Linked DNA regions of Drosophila melanogaster. The protein of the gene in region 3 interacts with the protein of the main gene of each other region in a pairwise test. Each region holds a gene or a part of one and is shown on either strand. Other genes may lie near its edges.

Region 1 (3,023 bases), on a different chromosome or scaffold from region 3:
AAACGAGCTCCGTGGGGCGGAGGAGCTTGGTCAGGAGAGAGAGGATGGGGGATATAAGTAAGCCAAGAAAATCCATTGCCACTCAGAGTCGGACGTCTTAATTAGGTTTTCTGCTGAAAAGTGCCGAAAAATGTTGGCTAATGCCCAACTTGCCACGCCCACACGAGCAGCAGACATTGTCTCTGACCCACAAATGGTCCTCCATCCTACCAAAAGCCCCTCTCCCTTTTTAGTCATGCCCCAATTTGAAGCTTTCTTCTGGTTCTCCCAGCGCGATTATAAATGACATCGCATTAGTCTTGGTCGGGTTAATGTGCGTTTCCTTTGGCCAAAAAACTGCCAACTTCGCACAACTTCATTAGTGGAGAACCATGTGAGAAAAGCAGAATATCAGACACTTGTCTCCCGCTTGAAGAGTTCCGGGAATTAAAGTACAGTTGCTTTTTCGTCCTACGCAGGTCTTGATTCTAGCCCTTTGAGGCATTCAGTTAGAATGGCTAAGTATGAACATTAAGTTATCAAAACATCTTATATACTTAATACGTTCAAGACAAAGTGCTACATATAAAAATATCCCCTATAAAAGGTACATTTTCTGCTTACCAAAACTAAATACCAAACCTATAAACTTGAGCTTAAATTATAACATTTTACGTAAGATACATTTTTAAGTCATTACCAGATAAAAATGAACTGTAAGTTTTCATCTGCGTAAAAACCTATTTTACCAAAATTCTAATCTAAAGAGTCGGTGGTTTGGGCAGTTCTTCGATCCCTGAGTTCCTGCTGATGCTTAATGGTCACCTCGAGGAACTTCAGATAGCCCTCGTCAATGGGTTCGATCTCCTCATCCTCGGAAGAACTCTCGTACACGTAGTCCAGGCAGTGAAACGTTCCTGTTTCCTTGGGAATATCCTCAAGGTCCTGATCCAGATTCGGATTAACCTCAGGGCAGAGACTCATAACATGATTGTGGTGCCATTCAAAAAGGCTTTGGTATACTACAATAACAGGGAATTTTAAATGGTTAACACTATTAAAAAACTTATTAATGACTATTATTGTTACTTTGAGCCACATTGCTCCACTGATCTCGAGATGTATGTGGCTTCGGCTTTCCCTCACTTTTCTGCCTTCGTCTGCGCTGCTTGCTCCTATTCCTGTTTCTTTTCCTTGCCATTTCCTCCGATTTCCAATCCTCCATTGGCTTTTATTAGGAAAATACAAACATTCGTCGCCTTTTGTTTACTTCTCAGCATAAGCAATAACAAGATTGCAGTGTTGCCAAATTATCCAAAATGTGGCCAGAAACTGAAATCTAGCGACCGCTTCACAGAATTATATATTTTGGTTCATATGAAGCGCTTTAATAATGATTCATTATAATTTTGATTTGGCAATTGGTTGTTTTCTTTGTAAATAATTTTAAATAATATCTTTTTAAAAGCAGTTTAAGATTGTGATGTGAATAATCGTCTATCGGACTGTAACAGCTGTTAATTCCAGTGTGTGTACAGATTGTAAACAACGCGAACTCCAGATGGCGTCTTATTACTGTTACCGGAAATTAAGTACAGGGGCTTTCAGGGAACAACAGATGGCGCCACCATGTTACTTTTAGATATAATAATTATTGTTTCTAACTTAGAATCTCATAGATACATATTAAAAAAAATTGTCTTAAAAATCAATACAATATATTACAAAATTTATATAATTAATAATTATGAAATTATGCCGCAAATTAATGAAATGAAATTTTATTCATTTTTGAAGAATTACTTATTCCAACAAAATCTCTTCATTTCTTAAATGATAAAACCCTTATATTTCCCTGCCCTCGCGGCCAACCCCTTGAAGGCCTTTTCCGGTCAACCGACTGACTTCAAAACTCTGGTTCAGACCTTCCCGGCAAAGGGCAAGCGCAAAGTTAAAGCCAGAGCAGAAGCCAAGCCGGATCGGACCGAAATCCAGATCCAAGCCAATCCCAGCCAGAAACATAGCCAAACCAGGGCTAAGGCTAAAGCCTGAGGAAAAGGCAGAGGAGTTTTGTTTTTCTAGCAAATTCAAATCCCGCGCTTATAAATCTCGGTCGATCGGTCGGTCGCTCGAAGTAGCGAAGAAGAAGTTCGGGAACCAAAACTAAAACTGGGATTAGGGCGGATCAATTTGGCTGTAGTGCGAATGCAAATTGGCCAGCGGTACGATTTAAATGAGGCGGCCAAACAAAGAGCACATTGATATGGAGTGCATCCTGCTGAGCCGGAACAAAAAGTCCGGGTATGGATGCACTTCCACTTTACCTGCCTCGTCCGGTTCATAAAGGAAAATTAGGTTTACACCTTCCCGGCCAATATGTTCATAAAACAATTTAGAGATTTACAAGGGGATCAACTTGAATGTGGTGCACAGTACATTCCATCCAACATATCCTGTGCCCCTCGTTCTTTTTTCCGTTCTCTTAAGTGGGTGTGGGTGTGTTTGTATTGCGGTTTTAGTGTAGCGAAAAAGGCGCGTGGTTATGGTTATGGATACGGATACAGATATGGATATCATGGCCATCATCCCGCCCATCATCCCTCACTTTTCCCGAGCAATTCACACATGTTTACTTTGGCAACTAGCGGGGGGAACGAAAGCTCTTCATTTCCGATGAAGTAATATGCGTTCTGATAATATGAAAAACATCCTGCGGCCAGGATTTGCACGCACTTATTCCCTTTTAATGGACTTGGCCAGCGATTTTTTGCCCGCATTTATTTTGCATATTTTTTGCGCGCATCGAAGCCAAAAAAAGATTTTAATTCGAGTGGTTCCTACGTGTGCTGGTGCCAGTAAACTAGTTCGGAAATTCGAATTTACATTGAAATAATTTCAGATTTGGAGAGCATAAACTTATAGACGACGTTGGTCAGGATGGCGGATCATGCTCAAATAGAATATAATATATAGTATATATAGTTGAAAACAGCAATGAAATAAGCTTCTAAACTATAGAATGGTGTAATTTTTACGGTACCATG
Region 2 (4,651 bases), on a different chromosome or scaffold from region 3:
AGGACTGCTCCTTCTGATCCTGCTGCTCCTTCTGCTGCTGTTGCTGCTCCTGGTGCTGCTGGTACTGCTGGTGCTTTTCCGACTTTTCCTGTTGCTGCTGACAAAAGCGATGCGATAGTGACGACGGCGAAAGTGACGGCGACGACGGCTGCATTTTCATCCATTGGTCAGGTAGCGGCTCCCTTATCCGGACATTTGCTTGTCGGGATCGGTGTTTTTCCTCGCTTTGAACTTTATTTATCCTTACTAGTTTCTATATACATATTGGCTATGTATCATATTTGCTTTGATTCATATTCATGCATCTTTGGTTTGGTTAAGCGTTTTCGTTTATAACTTTCTTTTGGTGGTGAGTTTTTAACTGTTAATTATTTACAATTTCTGGCGCTGCACTAAACAAAATAAATTTGATAATTGCTTGTTAGAATTTATGTGTGCCATTTGAAATAAATAAATTCCAATTGAATTTTGTATATAGCACTGCACACACAGTCGCGGACACACACGTAGGCACACTTCACTCGGCGGGCGGTCTTCACTTTACTACTACCGAAAACGAACAGTCGCAGCAGCAGCAGCAGCTCGGAAAATGTTTTTCTTCGACTTCGCTCGTTCCTTTGCTTTTCCACTTTCCGCTTTTCTGCGCTGATACGTGGGCGCCGCACACCCCAAAAGAAAAAAACAGCAGAGCCAAAAAATGAAAGGAAAACGTTTCCCGATAATAAAATCCACAAGAGCGGGAGTTTCCACAGGGAAATGCGAGAGAGAGAGAGAGAAAGCTAGAAAGAGAGCGAGAAATGGGGCTGCGCGAGAGAGAAGGCACGCGTCATGCGTGGTGAGTTGGGTAAAAAAGTTCCCAGTATTCTTGGAGCATCATAAAAAAGTAGTAGACATCAATATAATAATAGAAGTGGCAAAAATATGATATCAACAGCGTGTACCGCAGGGAAAAGGAGAAAGGGAACCATAGGGAAAAGGAGAAAGAGAGAGTGGCACAGAAAGCGAGAGAGGGAGCTAGAGCAAACTGCATTGCTTCAATTTCTCCCACCCAAAGCGATTCTATCAATTTCCATAGCTGCGGCGCCCTCAAGTATGCAACATGTTCTGCGACGAACCAATTACCACCGCCACCCACTTTCCCAGCACCACCCCCTCCCAGCCAAAGGCCGCCCACCGCCAGCGGGTATGGCCAAGGACAATCCAGTCAAATATTATATCATACAGGTCCTAATAATAGACGGAAACAAAGGTAACGACACTTGAAGTTTTCAACTTGATGACAATAAACGATAGCTAACGGAAGGCGCACAAATCCGCATTGTGTGTATACGCAAAGTTAAGGTCGGCATAATGGCCCTCAAGCACAAGGATCTTGGTCCTTATTTAGTGTATATGACATGTTTTTAGCATTGATTTTACATCGAATTATGTCCTAAGCTCATAATTCTATAACTATCTATTGTGACAACAAGATATGAGTTTCCTATTGTTTAAAACCCTCAAATTTTAGTTCGATATTCGATCCTATCGAATATTGATATTAACGCATCGTTTGTGTGCGCAGAAAAGCACCTACACGAAATTATAGTAGTTATGATGACTTAAAGCAGATTATAGATGGAATCAAGGAATATCTATAAAACTGGAATCCACATACGCAGTTACTTTCTATAAAAAAAAGTTGTTAACCCTTGAAGTAGAAGTACTGCGAACTTGAGAAATGAGTTGTGAACTTGGACTTGACGGTACTATTATTTGCACCGCAACTGTGAGTTTGGAGCCAGCCTGACGACGTGGAATGTCCAGGACCCGTTTCCCGTGTCCATATATCCTGGCCACCAGGCGATGTCCTGGCGACATGCGCACTCCGGAACCCACCACACTCGCTCGCGCGAACTCAACTCCACCACGACGGAGCGTTTCAAAGAAAGTGGCCAAGTTTAAGGATAAATCACAACGAGCAATATTTTTGCAACAAATGCGTTGAACGGGCGGCAATTTGGGGGTTGGGTGATGAAAACTTTGCGGCTTTGCTTTTCTTAGGGAAATTATTGTTTTGTTTTGGGCTGGGAGAGGCGCAGAAGCAGAAAAAACGGAAAATTATGGATGCTAATGGGGGGCCCAAAAAAGCGAGATATATAGATTTCAGAGGCTGTGTATACACACACACTCTACAACTGTAGACAAAGCAGCCGTACTTCGTACCCGTAGTGGCGCCCACCCAGCCCACTGACGCCCCCACCCCTTTCCCCCTCTGGACTTGCCACCCACTTTTCCCACCCAATGCTGCGCGCTTCGCTCTTTTCGGGCCGCATGAGCAAATCGCAATAGATAGAGAATTTTTTTCTTTCTTTCTTTTGCTGGCGCGGCTTGATTCCTTGCCACCACATCTATATGTATGTATATATATATATGTCTGATTGGTATATATATGCGAATATATATGTATCTGGACGGAGTGCGTGTGGCCTTGTCTTTTTCCATTTTCATTGCTAATCACACGAAGGAGTTAATTTGTTAAAACTTTGGCTTCGGATGGGAAAGTGGGGCCTGGAAAACTCTTGGTACTTGGCACATATGACAACGTAATTTTCACGCGCACACACACACTCGCGATTTTGGAGAGAGAAATTTTATGTACCATACATTTTTGAAGCTGCAAAATTTTGCACATTCGATTTTCACACTGCCACTAATGCTGCCTGCTACTGCTGCTGCTGGCGCTGCTGCTTTTTCCTTCGTTTTTCTTTTCTAGCCGCACTTTCGAATTTTTTTTCCTTCACCGGATGGAAAATTTTCACACGCACAGCAATCGAGTTAAAGCGAGTTTTTCGCAAGTTTTCATCGCGATTTCCCCCGAGTTTTCCACGCGTTTTATGCACTTTTTCGCTGCGAGTGTGTGAGAATTTTCCTGTGTGCTGGCTGTGTGAAAATGGAAATCCAGTGAAAATCCGCAACCGTTACGTACGGAAGAGCACACCTAGCTGCTGTGTGTGCTCCGCTGAAGACGATGGTGCGCTCTGCGGACGGGTCTGCAACTTTCTCGCGGCGCAGCGCCTTTATCGCTGCCTTCGCCGCTGCTCCGCCTGGCGCTCTCGCTGCGTCCCGCTCGCACACGCCGTGGGGCCAATCGCGCCCTCTCGCTCGACGCTGAGTGTGTTGAGTTCGCCGAATTCCTGTGTGCGTGCGTGCCCAACAACAAACAGGGGGAAATGTTGGGGAGCTCCCGTTAGGGAGAGAGCCAGGTCGCTCTCTATCTCTCTCGTTCGCAGTCAGGATGCTCTCTGGCGACCCCCCCTCCCCAAATAAAAATGAAATCAACAATTTGTTGGTCGGCGAGCTGCCAACTTGGCCCCAAAATAAATGTGGCCAAGCTAAGAGAGGAAATTGGCCCAAAGAACGACCATTATTTTAAATTAAGGCTTAATTGAAGGTTAGAAATGTAGGTTTTTTGAAAAAAATGAGTTTTACATTCAATATTAAAATCAGTAAGAAAATGCATTTTCTTATATTTTATAATTTAAGTTAGTAAAATCTCATAAAAACGAACTTTTCAAAAACCATTGCCTACTTTCTTGTGCTTATTCCGCGTCATAACCATGACGTACTATTGTCCCAACAGAAAAGAGTAGTACTGAAATATAAAAACTCTCACGCTCGATACCATCTTTATTTGCAGCAAAGAATGCATAAAGTAAACAGAGTTTTGATTGGTTACTTTGGATACAGCAATTTTTATATATTTATAGGGCTTTTAACTTACAACTATAGAGTTGAGCACACCGTCGATTAATCGCATCGCTTTACTTTGCTTATCATTAAGTTAATCTTTACAAATATGAACGTGTGTGAGCAACCGATATTGATGCTTTTTTGTGAAATTAAATGTATTGCAAATTGCATTTGCCAAGCGAAATTAGGAATAGGTTTAACAGCACTTCTATACACAATGTTTTTTATGCTGACACAGGGTGGTTAAATTACAATAGAACCGGTATACTTTTGGGTTACGTTAAATACACATACAATTAAGGCGACTTTAAATGGGTTCAATATAGATAATGCCTTTCTGGCGTTACTTTTGCATAGAGCCAACTTAGCCCAGGCCGTGATCGTCGAAGAAACTCTGCGGGGTCTCATCCTGGAAAGGGAGAATGCTTAGCTTCAGTTACATGTTACTATACTTTACAGCGCTTGGGGTAAAAGGAAACCAAATAAAAGTATCGATACTGGGGGCTAACTATGAAAAAGACTATGAAAAAGGGTGGTATATAGTAGCAACTAAAAACGAAAGGACACCAAACGGGTGCGCTAAGCCAGACATATAGGTAGATAGACAGTTTAGAGGGAGTGGAGCTCAGAGATCAGATCAGTGGAGGTGGAACAATGTGGGCGTCAAGAGTTTAGAGCAGTCAAATTGGTCAGTCACAACAACAGCAAAGACAACAATCAAAACTAAACGTTTAACAAAGACACTAAAAAGAAAACTGAGGTTCACCAGGTCTTACCATTTTCATATAGCATACGAGTACAATTAGGATTTTTTTTTCAAAAATACTTGGTTTTTATTTTAACTTGTTTTTCTCAGTTACAAAACACAGAAAATTTGGCTAAAACGTACAACACACATACATAAACATATATATATATA
Region 3 (3,622 bases):
AAGGAGCCAGACAAAGCGCAGCAAGATTTGCAATTGTTAATTAAGTAAATGAGAGTGACTAAAAGATTTTGTTAACACTGATAATTGTTTGTACATACATATAACCCACACTCAGACACATACAAAAGCATACACATGTGAAATGACATGAACAAATAGAGAGAGTGAGGCTTGTGTCTTATAGATAGAGCAATATTCGAATTTAAATTGATAATAAAACAAAAGTGACACGCGAGCGAGACACAAAAGTCAACATTTTGTACAACTTGAAATCTTTGTATTGATTTTCAGATAAGAGGTGAAAGGAGGTTTATTTCCTCATCCTTTTATTTATTGGGTTTCTTATCCATTTATGGTATAAGATACCAATCGGGAGAATAATGCATACGACTACAATGTCCAAAGTTACAACGAGGAGTCATCAGCAGATAAGATTATCAACAACGATAGATAGACGAGTTAAACATTAAATAAAACTTGTGAAACACGCAGCTGTTTCATTTGCTTGCTAATGCGGCCCATAAATTCACAATTAACCCAAAAAAGAAGATTAGATTATCAGTTCAGCAACATGCTTTGACTAGTTTATGAATACAAAACAACATGCTAAATATTAGAAAACTTATTTGGAAAAAACAATGTGCTTGTAAATCTTTTTTTTTTGCTATACAAAAGAGAACTGCTGTATACCTTGTATACCTAAACCTAAAATAGAATTTTGTTTTGTTTGCCATGGCGACTTGTGACATTGAACCCCAGATCAGAGGCACTAATCGACCAGATAGCCCCGGATGAAGGGCAGGCCCGTTGGCACCCGCTTTTGATAGCGCACATAGTCCGACTGGAAGAAGTTGAGCAGGGAGTACTCCTCGACGTAGATGCGATCGTGGAAGAACAGCCAGCTGACCAGTGTGTAAATGCATATGCAGATGGGATTCAATAGCACGATCTGGGTTCCGATGGACCACCAGAACCAGCCGACATAAGACGGGTGGCGGCAGTAGGCGTAGATCCCGCTTGTTATTAGCTTGTGTTCCGAGTGTTTCTCATTCTGGACCTGTAGGAATAGATGTGTGATGAGAAGTTTACAAGCTATTTAGTTAGTTTTAATTAATAATAGTGTGATAATTCCTTAAGTGCAATAATATTTATATGTCCATGTATTAACAAATCATCACGACTAACCAAGTGAGTGAAGCTCCGGCCAGCTGTGATGATGGCTGCCTTGCGAACCATCTCGCCCAGCAGGCACAGGACCACGCCCGCCACCCAAATGTATCCGTATCTCTTGAACTGCGGCAGGTAGTACACCTCTAGTGAGAACTCGATCCAACTGGCTGCCGCCGCCAGTCCATAGTGCACAGAGTGGTTCAGCATAAAGGAGTCGAGACTGAGAGTGCGCGGATTGGCAAAGGCGATAACGAGGAACTCCGAGTAGTGGAAAAGGGACATGAAGCATCCGTAGGCGCCAAATTGCTGCCACTCGGTGGGAGCAAAGCAGATGACCAGCACACTCACGGCCATGGCAAAGCCCAGGAAGGATGCCCTAATGGCCACCTGTGGTGCAAGAATAGTTAGCGCCATAGCACTGATAAGGTTTATCGCGTCTCATCGATTGACTCACCTGGTAGTCGTGGTTCCGCAGCACAAACCGTATGATCATGTTAATAAGGGCGTAGTACAAAAATGGACCCCAGAGGACGGCGCCCCACACCTGTGGCACCACTCCATAAAGATTCTGGGGCACCGAGGGAATCAGGACTAGAGCTGCAGTAATCAGAAAGCAATATAAACTGATGCGGCCTTCGGAACACAGGCTGGTGCCACCGGCCCCAGGAGAAGCCACTCGGCTCTTTGCACACATAACTGGGGAATCGGGATTCTTTTTGTGCTGCTGCTGTGCGCAAAAACACGGAAATTGAGGTTTTTTAAAACATTTGCTTGGTTTAATGCGCCAAAATGTAAATAAACCGGCAAAGCTTTCGATAACGATAGGCAGCACAGTGAATAACCGCTAAAGTATAGGCTCGTGATTATCATAGAAATCAGTAATATAATTCTTACAGCTTTTAATAAAATAAATCATAAATCATAAATTAAATTAAATAAATAAATATTTAACACCACGTTTAGCAGAAAATGGTTTTAAAAATAAATTATGCGGGCAATTCTCTTTAGCCTATACCCCCTGTAACAATAAGCGATAGTTATGCACTGTTACATATCGACATATCGAGTTCTGAGGATTTAATTTAATTTTATATAGTCAGAAAAAATTTAATAGTAACTTAAATGAATTACATTTGTAGGTATTCACCTATACCTTTTTAAATAAATTTCTTAACTGCACGCCTTGCATCGATATTTTATCGATAACATGCTCATTTTAGCGCCGTGCAGGTTATGTAAAATAACAAGTAGAGTCGTTGAGATCAATTAAAAATATATAAAAACTCGACCGATATTCTGTTAATATCAAGCCATGGTCTTCCTGAACCTTCCCTTGCTGGTACGGTCCCGTGGTCCGGACGAATTCTGGCGGAAGAGACGCATCTTCAAGCTGGCAGCGGTATGTTTCCGAATATCGTGGCCACAATAAAAATAATGAGCTCTTAGTGCTTAATTTCTGCAGCATTATAGAAGCCGCACTCGCAATGTCTACTCCTTCGCCATCCGGAGTGTCCATAGGGCACTGGCCTATGCCACCAAGGGGCGAAAGCTAAAGAAACTGGACATGGCGCAACTGTGGAGCACACGCGTGGAGGCGGGTTGTCAGCAGTATGGAGTAGGTCTGGAAACCTTCAAAGAGGGCCTCGCGCGCTCCGATATTCTGCTCAACAAGTGGGTACCACCGGAAAATTCCCATATCCTTTAACAACCTATAACATCTTTCAGAAAAGTCCTATCCGACCTCGCCATTTGGGAGCCGCGATCTTTTGAAGCTCTAGTAAAGATCTCTCGAGAGCGGGCAGCTGTGGAGGGAATGCCAGACATCAAACGGAGATCGGCATTTAACCAGGTCTATGGACTGAGCAACCTGAAGTTGGATTAACATAGCCTTAAGTAGGAGTTCAAATATAGATATTTGTATGTTTTAAACGTGTAATCTTTAATTTTCACTTTGAAGGGAGTAAAATCGTTTGGGATTTGTTCTTTAGATTAGTTTTTAACTCCGAATTCGTATTTACATTTAGTTACATAATTCGTAACTTCTGCTTGCTGAATGAAATTTGATACTAAATCATTAATTTATTTACTGCAACTACCTTTTCCGCGAATGAATCCAATATTTTTTCGAGTAAAATGACAAATGTGATTAATGACAAAACACCTGTGCTGCTAGTTTTAACAAGTAACTCGAAATTTATTCAATGACGGTCCATGCGCAATGCAAACAAAAATATTGCATGAGCTTTTATTGTAGTTTTTAGTTTCGGGTTTGTGGGTGTGTTACATACTAATAAAAAGCATAGAATTCATAGAATTGTGAGACAGTGTCCGGAGGCGAGATCTACTCCAATTTGGCCAGGATGTCGGACTCGCGGAAGAGGAACAGCTCCTTCTGGTCACCCTCTAGGTTCACCTTGGTGCCACCGAATTCGGGCAGCAGAACACGATCGCC

The links. The genes of interacting proteins can lie anywhere in the genome.
Region 1: the proteins of Icmt (region 3) and CG13689 interact in a two-hybrid assay, tested with the Drosophila melanogaster proteins (one large-scale study listed by BioGRID).
Region 2: the proteins of Icmt (region 3) and CG31140 interact in a two-hybrid assay, tested with the Drosophila melanogaster proteins (one large-scale study listed by BioGRID).

What each region holds. Positions count from the first base shown.
Region 1 is NT_033779.5:601,052-604,074, reverse strand, and holds CG13689 (uncharacterized protein), read right to left. Parts: upstream 1,263-3,023; 5' UTR 1,205-1,262; coding exon 1,069-1,204; intron 1,002-1,068; coding exon 736-1,001; 3' UTR 513-735; downstream 1-512.
Region 2 is NT_033777.3:23,961,541-23,966,191, reverse strand, and holds the start of CG31140 (uncharacterized protein), read right to left. Parts: upstream 3,013-4,651; 5' UTR 2,969-3,012; exon of another isoform or gene 2,959-2,968; intron 393-2,958; exon of another isoform or gene 388-392; 5' UTR 1-387.
Region 3 is NT_037436.4:13,016,623-13,020,244, reverse strand, and holds Icmt (isoprenylcysteine carboxyl methyltransferase), read right to left. Parts: upstream 1,980-3,622; 5' UTR 1,865-1,979; coding exon 1,625-1,864; exon of another isoform or gene 1,558-1,624; coding exon 1,186-1,557; exon of another isoform or gene 1,135-1,185; intron 1,058-1,134; coding exon 770-1,057; 3' UTR 558-769; downstream 1-557. Other genes in the region: mRpL20 (mitochondrial ribosomal protein L20), read left to right, coding at 2,483-2,569, 2,633-2,841, 2,896-3,052; CG11267 (uncharacterized protein), read right to left, coding at 3,512-3,622.